Arabidopsis thaliana: one gene and its partners. The protein of the gene in region 1 interacts with the protein of each later gene in a pairwise test. Each region holds a gene or a part of one and is shown in the gene's direction. Other genes may lie near its edges.

Region 1 (5,342 bases):
TGATGGATCCTTTCAAAATAAGTGACTTGTCATACTTTGATGCTAAGAAGAGATACTATGTTCATGACAGGGACGTTTACACTGGTGGAGAGACTAGAGCAGAAGGACAAGACTTGGACCCCGGTTTATGACGACGATGATCTATGTCTGAGGTTCAAGTGGTCGAGGCATAAAAAGCTGAGCTCCCGGAGTCAGGCCACTGTGGAATGGAGAATTCCCGAGTCTGCATCACCAGGGGTTTATAGGATCACCCATTTTGGTGCTGCAAAGAAGCTTTTTGGGTCAGTCCATCATTTCACAGGCTCTTCTAGTGCTTTCGTTGTAACATAAACAAGTAGAAACCAAAGTAGATACATAGTAAACTTGTATTATACTAGGTTTACCTGATGCACTGTCTTGTGCACTTGCATGTACTACACAAATGTAGCCAGAGAGTACAGAATGGTGTCAAAGAACTGATGTTGAGAAGTCTAATGGAATCCAATATACCTTTTCATGTCAATGTTCACATACAGTTTAAGTATCCAGGTATAGGCAACTACGGTTGTGTTAGTGTATAAATTATCTTGCAAAGTGGAGTTAGTTTGTTGATGAATGGTCATAGTTTCAAGACAACTAATTTTGCTGAACTTTGTTATCATAAAACATAATAAGTCAAGAAAACAACTGATTCTAGAGGGGGGATACAAAGGAATCTCACCAAAAAAAAACACCAACATTGTCAATAAATCTTCAACATTTTAGAATGAAGAGAAATTGTGGATATAAAAGGGGTCTTAGGGATTAGTGTCTTCTTCTTCTTCAATCTTAGGAGCCAAGTAGTAACGAATGTAACCCATCTCAGCAACCTTATACTCCACAACCACTGGCAACTCCGACGATAAGCTGATTGTCACTGTGTCTGACAATGGAGTTGCCTTTGTGAAGGAATTCATGTACCTCAGGGCAAATGAGAGAGACACTGGCTCCTTCATCTCTATCACAATTGCATCTTCCGGCTGCAATACACAAAACAAAAGCCTCAATTTAACATGTTACTCCAATGAAACAGCCGTAGAGGATTTGTCAACAGTATCATAGGTTTATGCAAAGAGTTAGACATGTTAATACCTTGTCTACAGTTGTGTTCTGCCTGAGCACAATGTTAGCGGTTCCAATGTCACCGGCAGTAGAAAACTTCACGCCTTCTTTAGTCACAGAGATCACAACTGCAACAATAACATCAGGTCAATCTCTATTTAGACTAAAAAAAACAACCCAGATTGAGAATAGAAACAATGCAGCAATGTACCTGTGTCACCAATGCTACTGAGATCTTTGCAAATCCTGGAAAACTCATTGGAAGGCATCCTCACGATTGAGTGGTACTCAGCATCAGGTATTCCCAGATGTTCACTGTCTATATCCATCAACTTCATCTCAAAATCAGCAATCTTGTCTTGCGCTGTAAATCATCCAACACAAAACCAAGTTAAAAGCAGCTAGGTCTAAACCAAGTTTTTGAAACTTGAAACTATATACAACCCCTAAGAGAACTAAATCATTCTATTCCATCAATCATTCCACCATTTCGTACAAGCTTAACCCATAGAAACCAGAAATTAGAGTAAGTCAGTCAATTAGCAAATAAACTTACTGGGGCTCTCAAACATGAAGGTAACGGTGTCGCCGCCGTCATCAGCCTTGATGGTGATGATGTCATCATTTCCGGCGCATTTGAGCATCTTCGACATGTTGCCGAGATTCATCCCCATGGAGAGATTCCTGTCGCATCTGTAGTGTTCGAAGCCTTCGGATCTTAGCAAGAGAGACACCAGAGCAACGTGACTCGAATCCATAGCTTGGAGTGAGAACCCAGTGCTGGAGCAGTCGAAATTCGCATCGTTCACCAGATCTTTGATTGATTCTAGAACCTTCTTCAACAACGAGCCCTGAACAAGACGTAGCTCCAACATTTCGTCGTCTTAGATATTATCAGAGTTCACAATGAGAATCGTTTGCGGCTATTTTGGAAAGTGGATTGACACTATAAGGTCAAGGAGTCCGATTTATAAGCTTTTTCTTTTCTGGCGGGATTTCGCCATTCTAAGCTATTTGGTTCCCGCCAATGCGCTAGTGCCGGCCTCAATCGTTTTAAGAATTGGATGGATATTTTTGGTCATTATAAAAGTTAGAGGGTTAATTTGTATTAATAAAAAGAAGAAAAGTTCATTTCGAATTGTAGTGAAAGTTTAGGGTTTTATTTGTAATATTTAAAAGACAAAAACACGCGAATCCAAAACCGACTTTGCCCTAGTTAAAATCTCGTCGTCTCCTTCGTGTTCGAGATTTGATATCGACTAATCGAATCAGAGGATAAGAGAATGGCTCACAGAATACTGAGAGATCATGAAGCCGATGGATGGGAACGCTCCGATTTCCCAATCATCTGCGAATCTTGTCTCGGTGACAACCCCTACGTGCGAATGGTGATTTCTCGATTCCTTCTCTCAAACATTCTTGGATTTTGCTATTGCTTGTTTTGTTTCAATGGCTCCTGAATCTTATTTCCGGATCTCATCTCTTAACCAGTCTCTTGCTCGTTGATGTTTTCTGTATATTGGAGTGGTTAACTTAGTAAATATGGTTTTAGGGTTTAGCTTGTTATCAAATTCATCGAAAAATTGGGTTTTACATCCAAATTCGTTTAGTTATAGTTGGATTTGATTACAGCTGCGGATTCTCTTAGCTTTCAGCTGCAATTTTGTTTTCTGAAAATCTCGATGTTTTGATTTCTGATTGACGTTTTATCTGTTGATATGTAGACCAAAGCGAATTATGATAAGGAATGCAAGATATGTACACGACCTTTCACGGTGTTTAGGTGGCGACCTGGCCGGGATGCTAGATACAAGAAAACCGAAATTTGTCAGACTTGCTGCAAGTTGAAAAATGTTTGTCAAGTCTGTCTTCTGGATCTTGAGTATGGTCTTCCAGTTCAAGTAAGAGACACAGCACTCAACATTAGTACTCATGACTCTATCCCTAAAAGTGATGTCAACAGAGAGTATTTTGCTGAAGAGCATGACAGGAAGGTATGATCATGTTCACACTCACGATTTTATTTCAGCATTTGTTGGTTTGAGAATTTTGAAGACTTACTCTAGCTTTCTCATGGTGGCTTATCTAAGTGATTTTGCTTTTTCTGTTATGTAGGCTAGAGCTGGACTGGATTATGAATCTTCATTCGGGAAGATGCGACCCAATGATACTATTTTAAAGCTTCAAAGAACAACACCGTACTATAAGAGGAACCGAGCACATGTTTGTAGTTTCTTCATCAGGGGTGAGTGTACAAGAGGTGCTGAATGTCCATACCGGCATGAGATGCCCGAAACAGGAGAGCTATCCCAGCAAAACATAAAAGACCGTTATTATGGGTAAGCTTTTTTCTTCTGTATGTTTGACTTTGTTGACGTTTAGTTCCGTTCTTTATTGGTTGTTTCGATACCTCCCCTAAGGAGTGTAAAATTTCATATGTTTCTGCCATAGTACTATTTTCTCCTTGATCATTCATAATATACTCGATATTTGAAAGCTTCTGATATGTGAATTCTTGGACTGAACTATGCTATGTTGGCTCTCATGTAGTCTTGTTACATAGTGTCGTTTCCAGTTTTAGTTCTCTTTGTAATGTATTAGTACTTTTGCATTTATTCTTGTTGAAGAGTTTGTTTTAACTGTTTCTCATTTTCTTTTACACGTTTTCAGTGTTAATGATCCAGTTGCTATGAAGTTGCTTGGCAAAGCTGGTGAGATGGGCACTTTGGAATCGCCAGACGATGAAAGCATCAAAACCCTTTACGTCGGTGGACTTAACTCGAGAATTCTCGAGCAGGACATACGAGACCAATTCTACGCTCATGGAGAAATTGAATCTATCAGAATCTTGGCCGATAAAGCCTGTGCATTTGTCACATACACAAGCCGTGAAGGTGCAGAGAAGGCTGCGCAAGAGCTCTCCAACAGGCTAGTCATCAACGGTCAGAGGCTAAAACTCACATGGGGAAGACCCAAACCTGATCAAGATGGTGCAAACCAACAGGGCGGTGTGGCTCATAGTGGGTTACTACCTCGAGCCGTTATATCTCAGCAGCACAATCAACCCCCACCAATGCAGCAGTACTATATGCACCCACCACCAGCTAACCAAGACAAACCTTATTACCCATCAATGGACCCACAGAGAATGGGTGCAGTCATTTCAACCCAAGAGGCTGGTGGTTCAAGCACTGAGAACAACGGAGCTTCATCTTCTTCTTACATGATGCCTCCACACCAGTCATACCCACCACCACCATATGGATATATGCCATCGCCTTACCAGCAGCAGTATCCTCCTAACCATCATCATCAACCTAGTCCTATGCAGCACTATGCCCCGCCTCCAGCAGCTTACCCGTACCCACAGCAACCTGGTCCTGGATCAAGACCTGCACCGTCTCCAACCGCGGTCTCTGCTATATCACCCGACTCTGCACCTGCTGGGTCTGGAGCACCTTCGGGATCCTCTCAACAAGCTCCTGATGTTTCTACAGCTACTGGTTCGTCTCAGTAGAGAAGAAATATCGCTTAAAAAATGTACTGCAAGTTTCCCGCTATTCAGGACGAAGGTTTTTTGTATTCTGAATGAATCATTTTCTTCTGCTTTTTAAAGTACTTCGGAATGTATTGTTTCTTCAAAACGGTTGTTAACGAAATCTATCAGTTATAGAGGCAATTGGTTCCATGAAGAGTCTGCAGTTATTGGCCAATTTCATAAAGAACTTTGAGAATATTATTATCACAAATTTCACATTTGCTCGAATCGTTTATTTTTTTTTGAGAATTCTACTAGTAATTTGGATAAATGCAAATAATCTGGGAAATACAATTGGGCCTTTTGTGAGAAGAAAAATCGTATAAAGCTGGGCCGGACGCCAAACTGAAAAATGTGATGGAATTTTTAAAATTCAATCGCGTCCGACTTTCCCGAAGCTTCTTTCTAAATCCTCTCTACATATATTCCCCACTCATATATGGGGAAACGTGAAATTCATTTTACTCCGGTGGGTCGTCAGGTGCAGAGAGTTCTGGAATATCCATTGCGCTTGGAGAATCGTTCGCCGGTAATTTGCTTCATCGATTGTATTATCCTTCGTTTTTTAGTTTCCGATTTAGAGCCGTTTTACAGAGTTGTTTTCGAAATTCTGTGGAACTATCGTCTTTTAGGTGTTGTTAGATCTGAATCGTTGCTGTAAATTTCGATGTGCTTAAGCTTGATTCTAGACTTGTAAGGAAAATAACTAGATAGATGTCAGCAT
Region 2 (4,730 bases), on another chromosome or scaffold:
CACTAAAAAGTTGAACCTACGAAATTTTCTTAACGTAAATTTTAAAATCATTTGGCTAATTAACTAGTATATCAGATAAACTTACACATTTTCTAATGGAAATTAAATATTCTTAGTAACGCATAGTCATACTTGCGCGTTCTTCTTAATTAGTCTTTCAGAAAAAGTGTCAATATATCTTCTGGAATATTTAATATATAGTCGTATATATGACTATCGAATCTCAGAAATGTGGCTATCAATCTATCTATATGTGTATATATATATAAACGTGTTTGTAATTTTGATAAAGATCTGAAACTCAAGTGGAAGAAACTGAATTGTATACGTCTCGAAATGGCATGCGTACCCACGGTACTGTATATGTGTAGATCATTATTTGAATATCCACGTCAACCGAAATTAATGATTTGGTGTTCTATTTGCAATATTCACGTAAGCTCACGTAATTCATACGTTTTTGTTTGTCTTGCTAACTTTAGCTTCATCTCATTTATATACGCTGATATTGATTGCTATTTATCAAATATGGAGAAATGTGTTTAACTTTTAACATGATTTTTAGGATATTATTGTCGTTGATATATATATCCTTCACATCATTAATTATTATTATGGATGTGAAAATACTATAGAAAAGCTATTAAAACCCCAATCTTTGTTCATGAGACAACAAAATTCTGGAGTCGGTGAAGTAGACATGACTTAATGGATTCTAAGTTTGTCCGATTTCTCCTTTGTTCCCATGTGATGTCTTAAGATAAAATGATCATCATCACACTTTCTTTTTCTCTTACTCCTTTGTTTCGATTCATAAGGATATATTGCTTTCGTCCACTTCTAATATTCTTATATCACTTTATTTAAAAGACAATGTACAATTTAATAAAATTAATAATTTGATGAATGTTATTGATTCATATAGATATTTAAAATGTATTTGAAAAAGGGGTACAAATCTTATTGTGAATGGATAATTAATTAAGTTGCATACTTCAAAAGACAATCATGTGGATACTTTTTTATTATTAGTTTTATGGATTTGAAATTCTGAAAAATACTCGTCTCAATTATTCTTAGAACATTAAGTTTGACCTAAAAGAATGGTTTGACTAGTAATATGGGAATTATATAGGTGCCCCTTTTCACAGATGATGCATCCGAATAACAAAATCATATTACTTCTTATATCCTACCGTCCATATTAATTATATTAGATTACACATTTAAATATAATATATACATCATTAGATCTAATATAGAAAATCTTATTAAAAAAAAATCCTTATATAAAGAAAAATCACAAGGTTAACACAACCTTATCGATAAATAAAGATGTTAAAACTGATTTTTATATATGAAGCAAAAGTAAATTAGGGCTTAGTGATGTCTAGTTAAAGTACTTGTGTTTTGAAAAGGTAATGAGTCATGACTCAACAAGGTACACAAGGCGTGCATCGGGTAAACCACAACCTTTTGTAATTGTCGATATAACAGCATGCCAATATTCACATGGACCATATACTGTGTGTATATTATATATTACCATATATGTGAGTTACATTTCATATTGTAGAACCAAGGACTAAATTTAAACATAATGTACCATATTCTTTTAATTAGATTATTCATAAGATATCCAATTTAAAAGATGAGTTAAAATGATCAAGAAAACGCTACGCTGAACTCTAAAGTCTAATCTTTATCATTTATAGAAGTGTTATGAAACAAATCAATACCTGGTTAATAATTGATGTAGTTTCATTTTTTTTTTTAAGAAAAGAAAGTGATGAAGTGTTTAACTAGTCATAATATTATAGATCCAACTTCATTTCAATATATCACGAGTGCATTGGCGGCTGCAAAACATATTTTTGAAAAGAGCAAAAAAAAAAATCAAGGATCATAAATAATATAGGTCTTGGCTTTTTAATTCTACCAATAGATTTACAGTGGACAATTAAAGAAAAAAAATCACGAAATTATCATGGTTTGGCTAATTGAGATAAAATTCATACGTTTTCCATCAATAATCGTACATCATCCATTTCACAACAATAATTATTCCTAAAATGTCGTTATTTTCATAACATTGGTTAGATGTTCTAATAAGCTACTATTATATATAACTTCACGTCAATGTATGTTTGATTTTGGCATCTAAAATTTCTGTAAAATTTAGATATTCGCGTATACTTTTTTTGGGATTTTCTTCTTAGCCGTATTATAACTGCAACTCATATCACATACGTGGATGATAAAATATTCGAGTTTAATATCTCCTCCGTATGTAGATTTGATATGATCCATAATATTAAAGATGAAAATGAACTTGACTGATTATTCAGCGCATTCATTTTATTTTCCCTTCGAGGATAGCGAAATCCGCCACGTGGCATTACTACATCCATTGCTTTTTTTAACATAAATACTTAAGTCGCAATTCTTCTAAATTTTGGAGGCTTATGATATTGGTAGGGTTCTCATATTCACTTCCAAAAGCATCTTCTTCTTTCTAATTTTCTTTTTCTTTTTATCTTATTTTCATTTTATTCATATACTTTTTGAAAAGAAAAGTCGAATCACATACTTTCTTCTCTCTATTTCTCATTCTCTCTTCTTCATCATATTACTCATTTTATAGAACAGCAAAACCCTAGATTTCCTGTTCAAGCTCAAGACCGTACAAAACTTTGGAACTCATGTAAGAAACAGTACACGTTTTTTTTTTTGTTTCTTCTTCAGTCCGGATTATAAGAATTTTGTCGATTGAAGAAAACAGGCTAAATTAAACCCTAATTTTCTCTCTTAGACAATTCCTACTTTCTCTCCATTTTTCTGGATTCGCTCTCGTTTTAAAAGGATTCAGAAATTAACTATATTATTTGAATTCTTTTGCCATAATTCCCTTATGTTTTCTGCTAATGGATATACATTTGGTCTTCTTTCTGTATTAGATATAAAGATCTCGAGAATAGCATTATGAATATCGTCTCTTGGAAAGATGCAAACGACGAAGTTGCAGGCGGCGCTACGACAAGACGTGAAAGAGAAGTAAAAGAGGATCAAGAAGAAACCGAAGTCAGAGCCACCAGTGGCAAAACCGTAATTAAAAAGCAGCCTACATCGATCTCTTCTTCTTCTTCTTCGTGGATGAAATCCAAGGATCCGAGGATTGTTAGGGTTTCACGCGCCTTTGGAGGCAAAGACCGTCACAGCAAAGTGTGTACGTTACGTGGACTACGTGACAGACGCGTGAGATTATCAGTCCCAACGGCTATTCAGCTCTACGATCTTCAAGAACGGCTCGGTGTTGACCAGCCTAGCAAAGCCGTTGACTGGTTGCTTGATGCAGCTAAAGAGGAGATCGACGAGCTACCTCCGTTACCTATCTCGCCGGAAAATTTCAGCATCTTCAACCATCATCAGTCCTTCTTGAATCTTGGTCAACGGCCCGGTCAAGATCCGACCCAACTCGGGTTTAAAATCAATGGATGTGTACAAAAGTCTACTACTACTAGCCGCGAAGAAAACGATAGAGAGAAAGGAGAAAACGATGTCGTTTACACAAACAATCATCATGTTGGGTCTTATGGAACTTATCACAACCTGGAACATCATCATCATCATCACCAACATTTGAGTTTACAGGCAGATTATCATAGTCATCAACTACATAGTCTTGTCCCATTTCCATCACAAATTTTGGTATGTCCAATGACGACATCACCAACAACTACAACTATACAATCTTTGTTTCCATCATCATCGTCAGCTGGTTCAGGGACTATGGAGACATTAGATCCGAGGCAAATGGTAAGCCATTTTCAAATGCCATTAATGGGTAATTCTTCATCTTCGTCTTCCCAAAACATTTCGACATTATATTCGTTGTTACATGGTAGTAGTAGCAACAATGGTGGTAGAGACATTGATAATCGGATGTCGTCGGTCCAATTCAACCGAACTAATAGCACTACAACGGCTAACATGTCGAGGCATCTAGGCTCGGAGCGTTGTACAAGTAGAGGAAGTGATCACCATATGTGAAGTTAGATTATTGAAACGATATAATTGTTGTTTGATGTGTTCAGAAATAAGGGGACACAAAACAAAATATAAGGTAATTACTATTGTACTATGTTTTGCTGATATATTTTTTAATAGACAAATTAATGTTATAAATTGATTTATTAATTTACTATTAGCATGTGTTTTGAAACTTTCTCATGTATATATATATATATAGCTTCCTCATAGGATCTGAATACACACAAACATACATGAAATGTATTATAAGTATCTGATAGTAATGTATGCACTTTGAGATGAGAAGCTAAATTACATTCAGATTCATCAAATATTTAGCAAAAAAAAAAATCAGATTCATCAATAGGTAACGTAATAATATGAAATTGAATCTAATAATTTATACTGATCTGTTATCGAGGTATTATGTTTCTATTGGATGCACGGTACAATGCAACTATAGAACTCAATGTGACCGTAGCTAGATAGATTATTAGATGATGATATAAGTGGAGATTCCACAAAACCCAAACAAACCTAACATTACTATGTCATGTGAAGCAGATATATATTGAACCCATTATCAAATAGAAATTCATCATGAATGGTTATTATACATACAAGTGCCCATTTTAAAATCTTATTAGCATAGTAAGTAAACTATCAAGATGCAAAGAAGCCATTCCCATATAAAAATTAAG
Region 3 (6,726 bases), on another chromosome or scaffold:
ATGACAAATAACATTCAATACCTACATACAACTTAACAAAATTACATTTTTTAATAAAAAAAGCCCGCGATTTGGTTCGGGTTTCGCCCTAGTACTAACTAGAGAAGAAAGAGATTTTCGAAGAAAAAATATGGAACATGTGAAAAGTTTAGAAGGTATGACACATATTGCTTAAACAAAATCATAAGAGGATGGAAAGAGACACTGTAAGAAAAAATGAAACAAATAAAACGAGTGCTTGCAAAAAGATAGGGAGAGTGATAGCTCTTTGTAAAAAAATTGTGAAGACAGAAATTCATATACATATTGAAAAGAATGTGAGAAAATATGAGTTGTTAAAGTAAAGTATAGATAAGCTTATGAATATACTTCTATATAATATCTTATTTTTAGACGAGCTATACTAACTAATGCAGCGAAGATAAACAAAAAAGAATAGTAAATTTACGGATTTCAAAATGAGAAAGTCGTCGAAGTTATTTTCCATAAAACAATTTATTTCATACATAAAAAGACGTCGTGATCCTAAATATCTAAAGCTAAAGAGAGAGTCATGAGCCAAAAAAATGTTCTTTTGATAAATGTTGTAAACCTAAAAGTTGTATTAAAGTTATTTTTAGTTTTGTATTTAAATTGTAACTATTGTCATGGTAATTTTAAAATTCAAAGAGTTTATAATATTAACAACAAGTAGACATATAAAAACATATCTTTTAAAAAATTTCTATAATAATTTTATTCACACAAAAAAATATTAAAAAGTTTTACAAATAGACCCATGCGTAGCGTGGATTCATAACCTAGGATTTAGAACGACTAATCGGGAGTTGCCACATAAATAATTAACATATTTAGTATCTAATTAATTAACATTTTTGAAAACAACCAATCGGGAGCTGCCACATCAATAATTAACATATTTAGCATCTAATTAATTAACATTTTTGAAAATAGCAATTACTTTATATTTTAAAATGTAAAAACAAAGGAACTAACAAATATTAAATTTAAACTTATAAAATAGGAAGCTATATAATTATAATTATGTAATAATAAACTCAAACCCTTATAGGATTTTATACAACTAATCCAACATTTTTTTAATATAACTTAAAGAAACGTAACAAGGACGTGGTTTGATGGTGGTGTTTTTAACTGTATCAATTTGAATCAAGTTCTCGAAGATATGCTCGTGGCAACTACCATGAGAATTCCACTTTTTCGGTCATGTGACAACCACACAAATTTCCGAGTTTCACGAGTTCAAAATCGGTGTTTCAACTCGTAACTTAGCCTTGAACGCATAAAAGCGAACTGAATGAATTAGAGTTGTAATGTTGTATTTATTTTTGTAGATTGTTTTAATCCGCTTCTTGCTAATCTCTGTATTTCTGTCAAAAATCAAAAATAATATAAAATCTAATTGTCTACCAAAAAAAAAATCATTCATAGTCCATGAGTAGAATCAAAACAAGATAGATTCAAACTTTATCAAGATAGATAAATAAGCTAAGAAATGAAATAGTTCCTCAAAACTAAATTTAGTGTCACCAAGAGGCAAGATCAAACTTTTCAAATAAGGGAAAGAAGAGAATTGCAACGTGATTAATTGATGAGGTCATAGTAAAAGTCAAAAATCTGTGTGACTCAAAACGGGTAAAAACAATAATTGGGATGTAGTTGATAACTCTAAAAAAAAAGGGACAAAAATGAGATTTGCATAAAGTAGAGATACAAAATTGAGAAGAAAAAAAAATCCTCTTCACTAAAAAAAAAAAAACTTCCGTTATCGATCTCTATCTCTCTCTTCCCCCACAAGGGTGGCGATTCGAGGAGTTTCCATGGTGGAACAGAAACCCTAGAGCCTTTATGCTGCCACTAATTATCACTCTTCACTATTGAATTGGGGATGGACTCAGAGAAAATCCTCAATCCAAGACTTGTTTCGATTAATAGCACCAGCCGCAAAGGTATGTCCGTTGAGTTGCCGCAGAAACCGCCGCCACCGCCGTCGTTGTTAGACCGGTTTAAAGCTTTGCTTAATCAGCGTGAAGATGAGTTCGGTGGTGGTGAAGAGGTTTTGCCTCCGAGTATGGATGAGATTGTTCAGCTTTATGAGGTTGTTTTGGGTGAGCTTACTTTCAATTCTAAGCCTATTATCACTGATCTCACTATTATCGCTGGTGAACAACGGGAACATGGTGAAGGAATCGCTAATGCTATTTGCACTCGAATCCTTGAGGTTTGCTTTCTTCTTATTTGTTTCCACTTTCTAGCCTTATTGTATAGTATGTAAGTGTAGAAGTGGGAAAAAAATTAGGTTTTTGATTGTCAGAGATTAGTGTTTGGTTTGTGGTTTAGTGAAATGGCTGCTTCTGAGTTACCTGTGGGTGTATATATGCAGGCTCCTGTTGAGCAAAAGTTGCCATCTCTGTATCTTTTAGACAGCATTGTTAAGAACATTGGGCGGGATTATGGTCGCTATTTCTCATCCCGTCTACCCGAGGTGAGCAGTCTACAAGAAGATGTTTACTTAAATGATTTGAATAGGGCTGAAGCATACCCATGAGCTGTTTTGATCCTATTCTGCTTTAGGTCTTCTGCCTTGCATATAGGCAAGCACATCCGAGTTTACATCCGTCAATGCGTCACCTGTTTGGGACTTGGTCGAGTGTTTTTCCACCACCTGTACTACGCAAGATTGATATGCAATTGCAACTTTCATCTGCAGCAAACCAATCTTCCGTAGGGGCTTCTGAGCCTAGTCAACCAACGAGAGGTATACATGTTAATCCAAAATATCTTCGCAGGCTGGAGCCCTCAGCCGCCGAAAATGTAAGCCTTTCTCTTTGTCATTATGAACAGAGATGACATTCTTTTTTTAGGTGCATCTGCAACCTTGAAGCTATGGTGTGTTAATTTTATATAAGTGTACTAAGTAAAACGGGTATTAGATTAGTTTGGCCTCATAGTGGTCTTATCCATTGTATTTCTTTAAAGTTTTGTTAGTTAGACGAGATAGATGTTTACATTCTTCAAGTAATCAATCTTGACTGGAAGGGAGTTGTTGTTATGGCCTCTCTCAGTTATACATGATGAGTAGGTCACTGGGACTCTGGTACATTAGAAATGATCTTGTTAGCACATGTAGAGGGTTTTTTTTTGGTTATAGTACAGTAGATCACTGTTTATGCATCATGTGTCGTTTGGAACTGTTTTTATATGTTTTTTTTCAAAGAGTGACTATACCTGAGATGCATATTTCCTTAATTGCTCTTGCTTGACATGCAGAATTTGAGAGGAATTAATTCCAGTGCAAGAGTTTATGGCCAAAATTCACTCGGTGGGTATAATGATTTCGAAGATCAGTTAGAGAGCCCATCTTCACTGTCTAGTACACCAGATGGTTTTACCAGGAGGTCTAATGATGGAGCTAATCCTTCTAATCAAGCTTTTAACTATGGAATGGGTCGAGCTACTAGCAGAGATGATGAACATATGGAATGGCGAAGAAAGGAAAACTTAGGCCAAGGAAATGATCACGAAAGACCTAGAGCGTTGATAGATGCATATGGAGTTGACACCAGCAAACACGTAACGATCAATAAACCAATTCGCGATATGAATGGCATGCACAGTAAGATGGTTACACCATGGCAGAACACTGAGGAAGAAGAGTTTGATTGGGAAGATATGAGCCCTACCCTAGATCGTAGCAGAGCTGGTGAATTTTTGCGATCATCTGTACCAGCATTAGGAAGTGTAAGGGCAAGACCCAGAGTAGGAAACACAAGTGATTTTCATTTAGATTCTGACATTAAGAATGGTGTAAGTCATCAGCTACGAGAAAATTGGAGTTTGTCACAAAATTATCCACATACATCCAACCGTGTTGATACAAGAGCAGGAAAAGACTTGAAAGTATTGGCTTCATCTGTAGGGTTAGTTTCATCAAACAGTGAATTCGGGGCTCCTCCATTTGATAGCATTCAAGATGTTAACTCACGTTTTGGCCGGGCTCTTCCTGATGGGACATGGCCCCATTTGAGTGCTAGAGGACCCAACTCTCTCCCTGTACCTTCTGCTCATTTGCATCATTTGGCAAATCCCGGTAATGCGATGTCAAATCGCTTGCAAGGTAAGCCTTTATATAGGCCCGAAAACCAGGTCTCTCAGAGTCATCTTAATGATATGACTCAACAGAATCAGATGCTAGTTAATTATTTGCCATCCTCATCTGCTATGGCTCCAAGGCCAATGCAATCGTTGTTAACCCACGTAAGTCATGGGTACCCTCCACATGGGTCAACCATTAGACCATCTTTATCAATCCAAGGTGGGGAAGCCATGCATCCTCTTTCTTCAGGAGTTTTATCTCAGATAGGAGCCTCTAATCAACCACCAGGTGGCGCATTCTCTGGTCTGATTGGCTCTCTCATGGCTCAAGGTTTGATCTCATTGAACAATCAGCCTGCTGGTCAGGTAATTATTCAAATCATGTCCTTGAGAGTCGGTTTGTTCTTAGTTATTGCTTTATCTTGAATTGTTGGTTTATATATTCAGGGACCATTGGGGTTGGAGTTTGATGCAGACATGCTCAAGATACGTAATGAGTCTGCAATCAGTGCTTTATATGGGGATCTCCCGAGGCAATGCACAACCTGTGGTCTACGCTTCAAGTGCCAAGAAGAGCACAGTAAGCACATGGATTGGCATGTAACCAAGAACAGGATGTCCAAGAACCATAAGCAGAACCCTTCTCGGAAATGGTTTGTAAGTGCTAGCATGTGGCTCAGTGGTGCAGAAGCACTTGGAGCTGAAGCAGTACCAGGGTTCTTGCCCACGGAGCCAACAACAGAAAAGAAGGATGACGAAGATATGGCAGTTCCTGCAGATGAAGACCAAACTTCATGTGCATTATGTGGTGAGCCATTTGAAGACTTTTATAGTGATGAAACCGAGGAATGGATGTACAAAGGTGCGGTATACATGAATGCTCCTGAAGAATCAACAACAGATATGGACAAGTCTCAGTTAGGTCCTATAGTGCATGCAAAGTGCAGGCCAGAGTCCAATGGGGTAAGCCATTCCATGCATTTTCATTAGCTTCATTTGTGTCTAGTTGAATCCATTTTCATTTTCGCTGCTAGACATTTATCCAGTGACGACCTCTTGATTTCCCGATCATGGCTTTTTCAGGGTGATATGGAAGAGGGTAGTCAGAGGAAAAAGATGCGGAGTTAGATCCCTTAGACCGAATTTTAGGTCTTTTTCTTGACTACATTTAAGTTACATTCTTATTTCTTCATCATCTATATGCACTTAGTCACAGAATACCACCAATGAAGAGAAATGATGGAGAGAGTCTTCTTTCTCCTAAAACTGTACCATTGAAAAAAAGAGGTTTACACCCACATATATTATCATTCTTTATGCCTCTAAATTCCTGTTGTGCCTTAGGACATGGATATCGTGTAACTGTTCTGCATTCTCTGCTACACCTAACCTGGGGTGCTTGTAGTAGTAAAATCAGATGTCGCAACAGTAGTTTCCCCATGTAAATGGAATACAATGTCTCTGTTTCGGATTGTCTTTTTCTTTTTCATCTTTAGATATTGCAGGGAAAGCCCGAGAAGACTGATATTCGAATGTGAACAGATTTCTTATGATGAATGGATCTCATAGATGCTGTTGCTAAGAGAACCAGTTTCAGGTTTCTTCTTTAGAGCTTTCCCTGTCTGAGTTTTACCTTTCTATGTTAGGCTGTTAGCTAAAAATGTTAGTTAACATAACTCTCTTTAAGCGTATTTGTTCTCTTGACTTTGTCTATAATGAAACAAGTTTTACTTTTCTTCTATCTGAACCTTTTGCTTTTGAAATTTCCACTACTTGTATCTTCATACCTACATGATACAGAGCCGGATTTATGTCGAAGTAGATTGAACGATAGTTAAAGCTTTCGAACTTACTTGGCTTTTTGCTCGATCAAACTAGAGTTTTTTCATGACTGTTACATTTGAAATATGGAATTATAAAGATTTAAAGGTTATGATTTAGTTCTGGTAGTACCTTATAGGACTGCAGAGCAAACTCAGTTCAAATCTGGCTTTGTCTCAACCGTTAGTCTCTAAACAAGAGTATGTGATGATCAATAGATGTAATGGCTGGAGTAAAATTCATGTTTGTTATATACATTGTGAAAATAGTCTATTATAGTATGAATATAAGAAAACAGCTTGCAATATGCAATATGAACTAAGCTAGAACAAAAGATCAGGTTAAGAACACACATCATTGCCCTTTTATTTTGCCTTTGTTAGAAAATTGGACCGTTGGTTGAATGGGATAAGAGAGAGCTAACAGAAACTAGTAGTGTACTAATAACAAAGATTTTAACTCCATATCTGTCAAGTGCAACAAAAGGGCTTACAATACAAAACAACAAAGAAACTGACAACTTGGGTCGGAGAACGCAAAAAGGGGAAACCCAAAAGGTGTTCAAAAAACTGTCAACGAAACGCAAAATAGACAATTTAAAACCGTGGTTTCCAGCAGAAGTCAATACCCGAACCACTTTACCTTTTTTCATCAGCTTGAGATGAAATTAAACGCAAAAGGTGCGTTCTTGACTTCCTTTGGATTTCAAAAAACACAAAATGAGAAACCATAACCGCTCTTAATCCTTCCTTTTCTCTTATTCTTACTTCTTCTGCATAAGGAAAAAAC

Evidence for each region.
Region 2: the proteins of MAC5A (region 1) and PTF1 interact in binary tests that used the Arabidopsis thaliana proteins (3 or more experiments, as listed by UniProt).
Region 3: the proteins of MAC5A (region 1) and PCFS4 interact in binary tests that used the Arabidopsis thaliana proteins (3 or more experiments, as listed by UniProt).

Annotation. Positions count from the first base shown.
Region 1 is NC_003070.9:2,259,817-2,265,158, reverse strand, and holds MAC5A (CCCH-type zinc fingerfamily protein with RNA-binding domain-containing protein), read left to right. Parts: upstream 1-2,235; 5' UTR 2,236-2,363; coding exon 2,364-2,468; intron 2,469-2,804; coding exon 2,805-3,074; intron 3,075-3,195; coding exon 3,196-3,419; intron 3,420-3,750; coding exon 3,751-4,597; 3' UTR 4,598-4,842; downstream 4,843-5,342. Other genes in the region: AT1G07380 (Neutral/alkaline non-lysosomal ceramidase), read left to right, coding at 71-330; PCNA1 (proliferating cellular nuclear antigen 1), read right to left, coding at 777-998, 1,111-1,208, 1,292-1,444, 1,637-1,955; SR45a (RNA-binding (RRM/RBD/RNP motifs) family protein), read left to right, coding at 5,058-5,147.
Region 2 is NC_003074.8:388,540-393,269, forward strand, and holds PTF1 (plastid transcription factor 1), read left to right. Parts: upstream 1-2,180; 5' UTR 2,181-2,704; intron 2,705-2,957; 5' UTR 2,958-2,982; coding exon 2,983-4,050; 3' UTR 4,051-4,228; downstream 4,229-4,730. UniProt on the Arabidopsis thaliana protein: Plays a pivotal role in the control of morphogenesis of shoot organs by negatively regulating the expression of boundary-specific genes such as CUC genes, probably through the induction of miRNA (e.g. miR164).
Region 3 is NC_003075.7:2,470,174-2,476,899, forward strand, and holds PCFS4 (PCF11P-similar protein 4), read left to right. Parts: upstream 1-1,692; 5' UTR 1,693-1,909; coding exon 1,910-2,242; intron 2,243-2,404; coding exon 2,405-2,506; intron 2,507-2,595; coding exon 2,596-2,835; intron 2,836-3,291; coding exon 3,292-4,482; intron 4,483-4,563; coding exon 4,564-5,079; intron 5,080-5,199; coding exon 5,200-5,244; 3' UTR 5,245-5,852; downstream 5,853-6,726.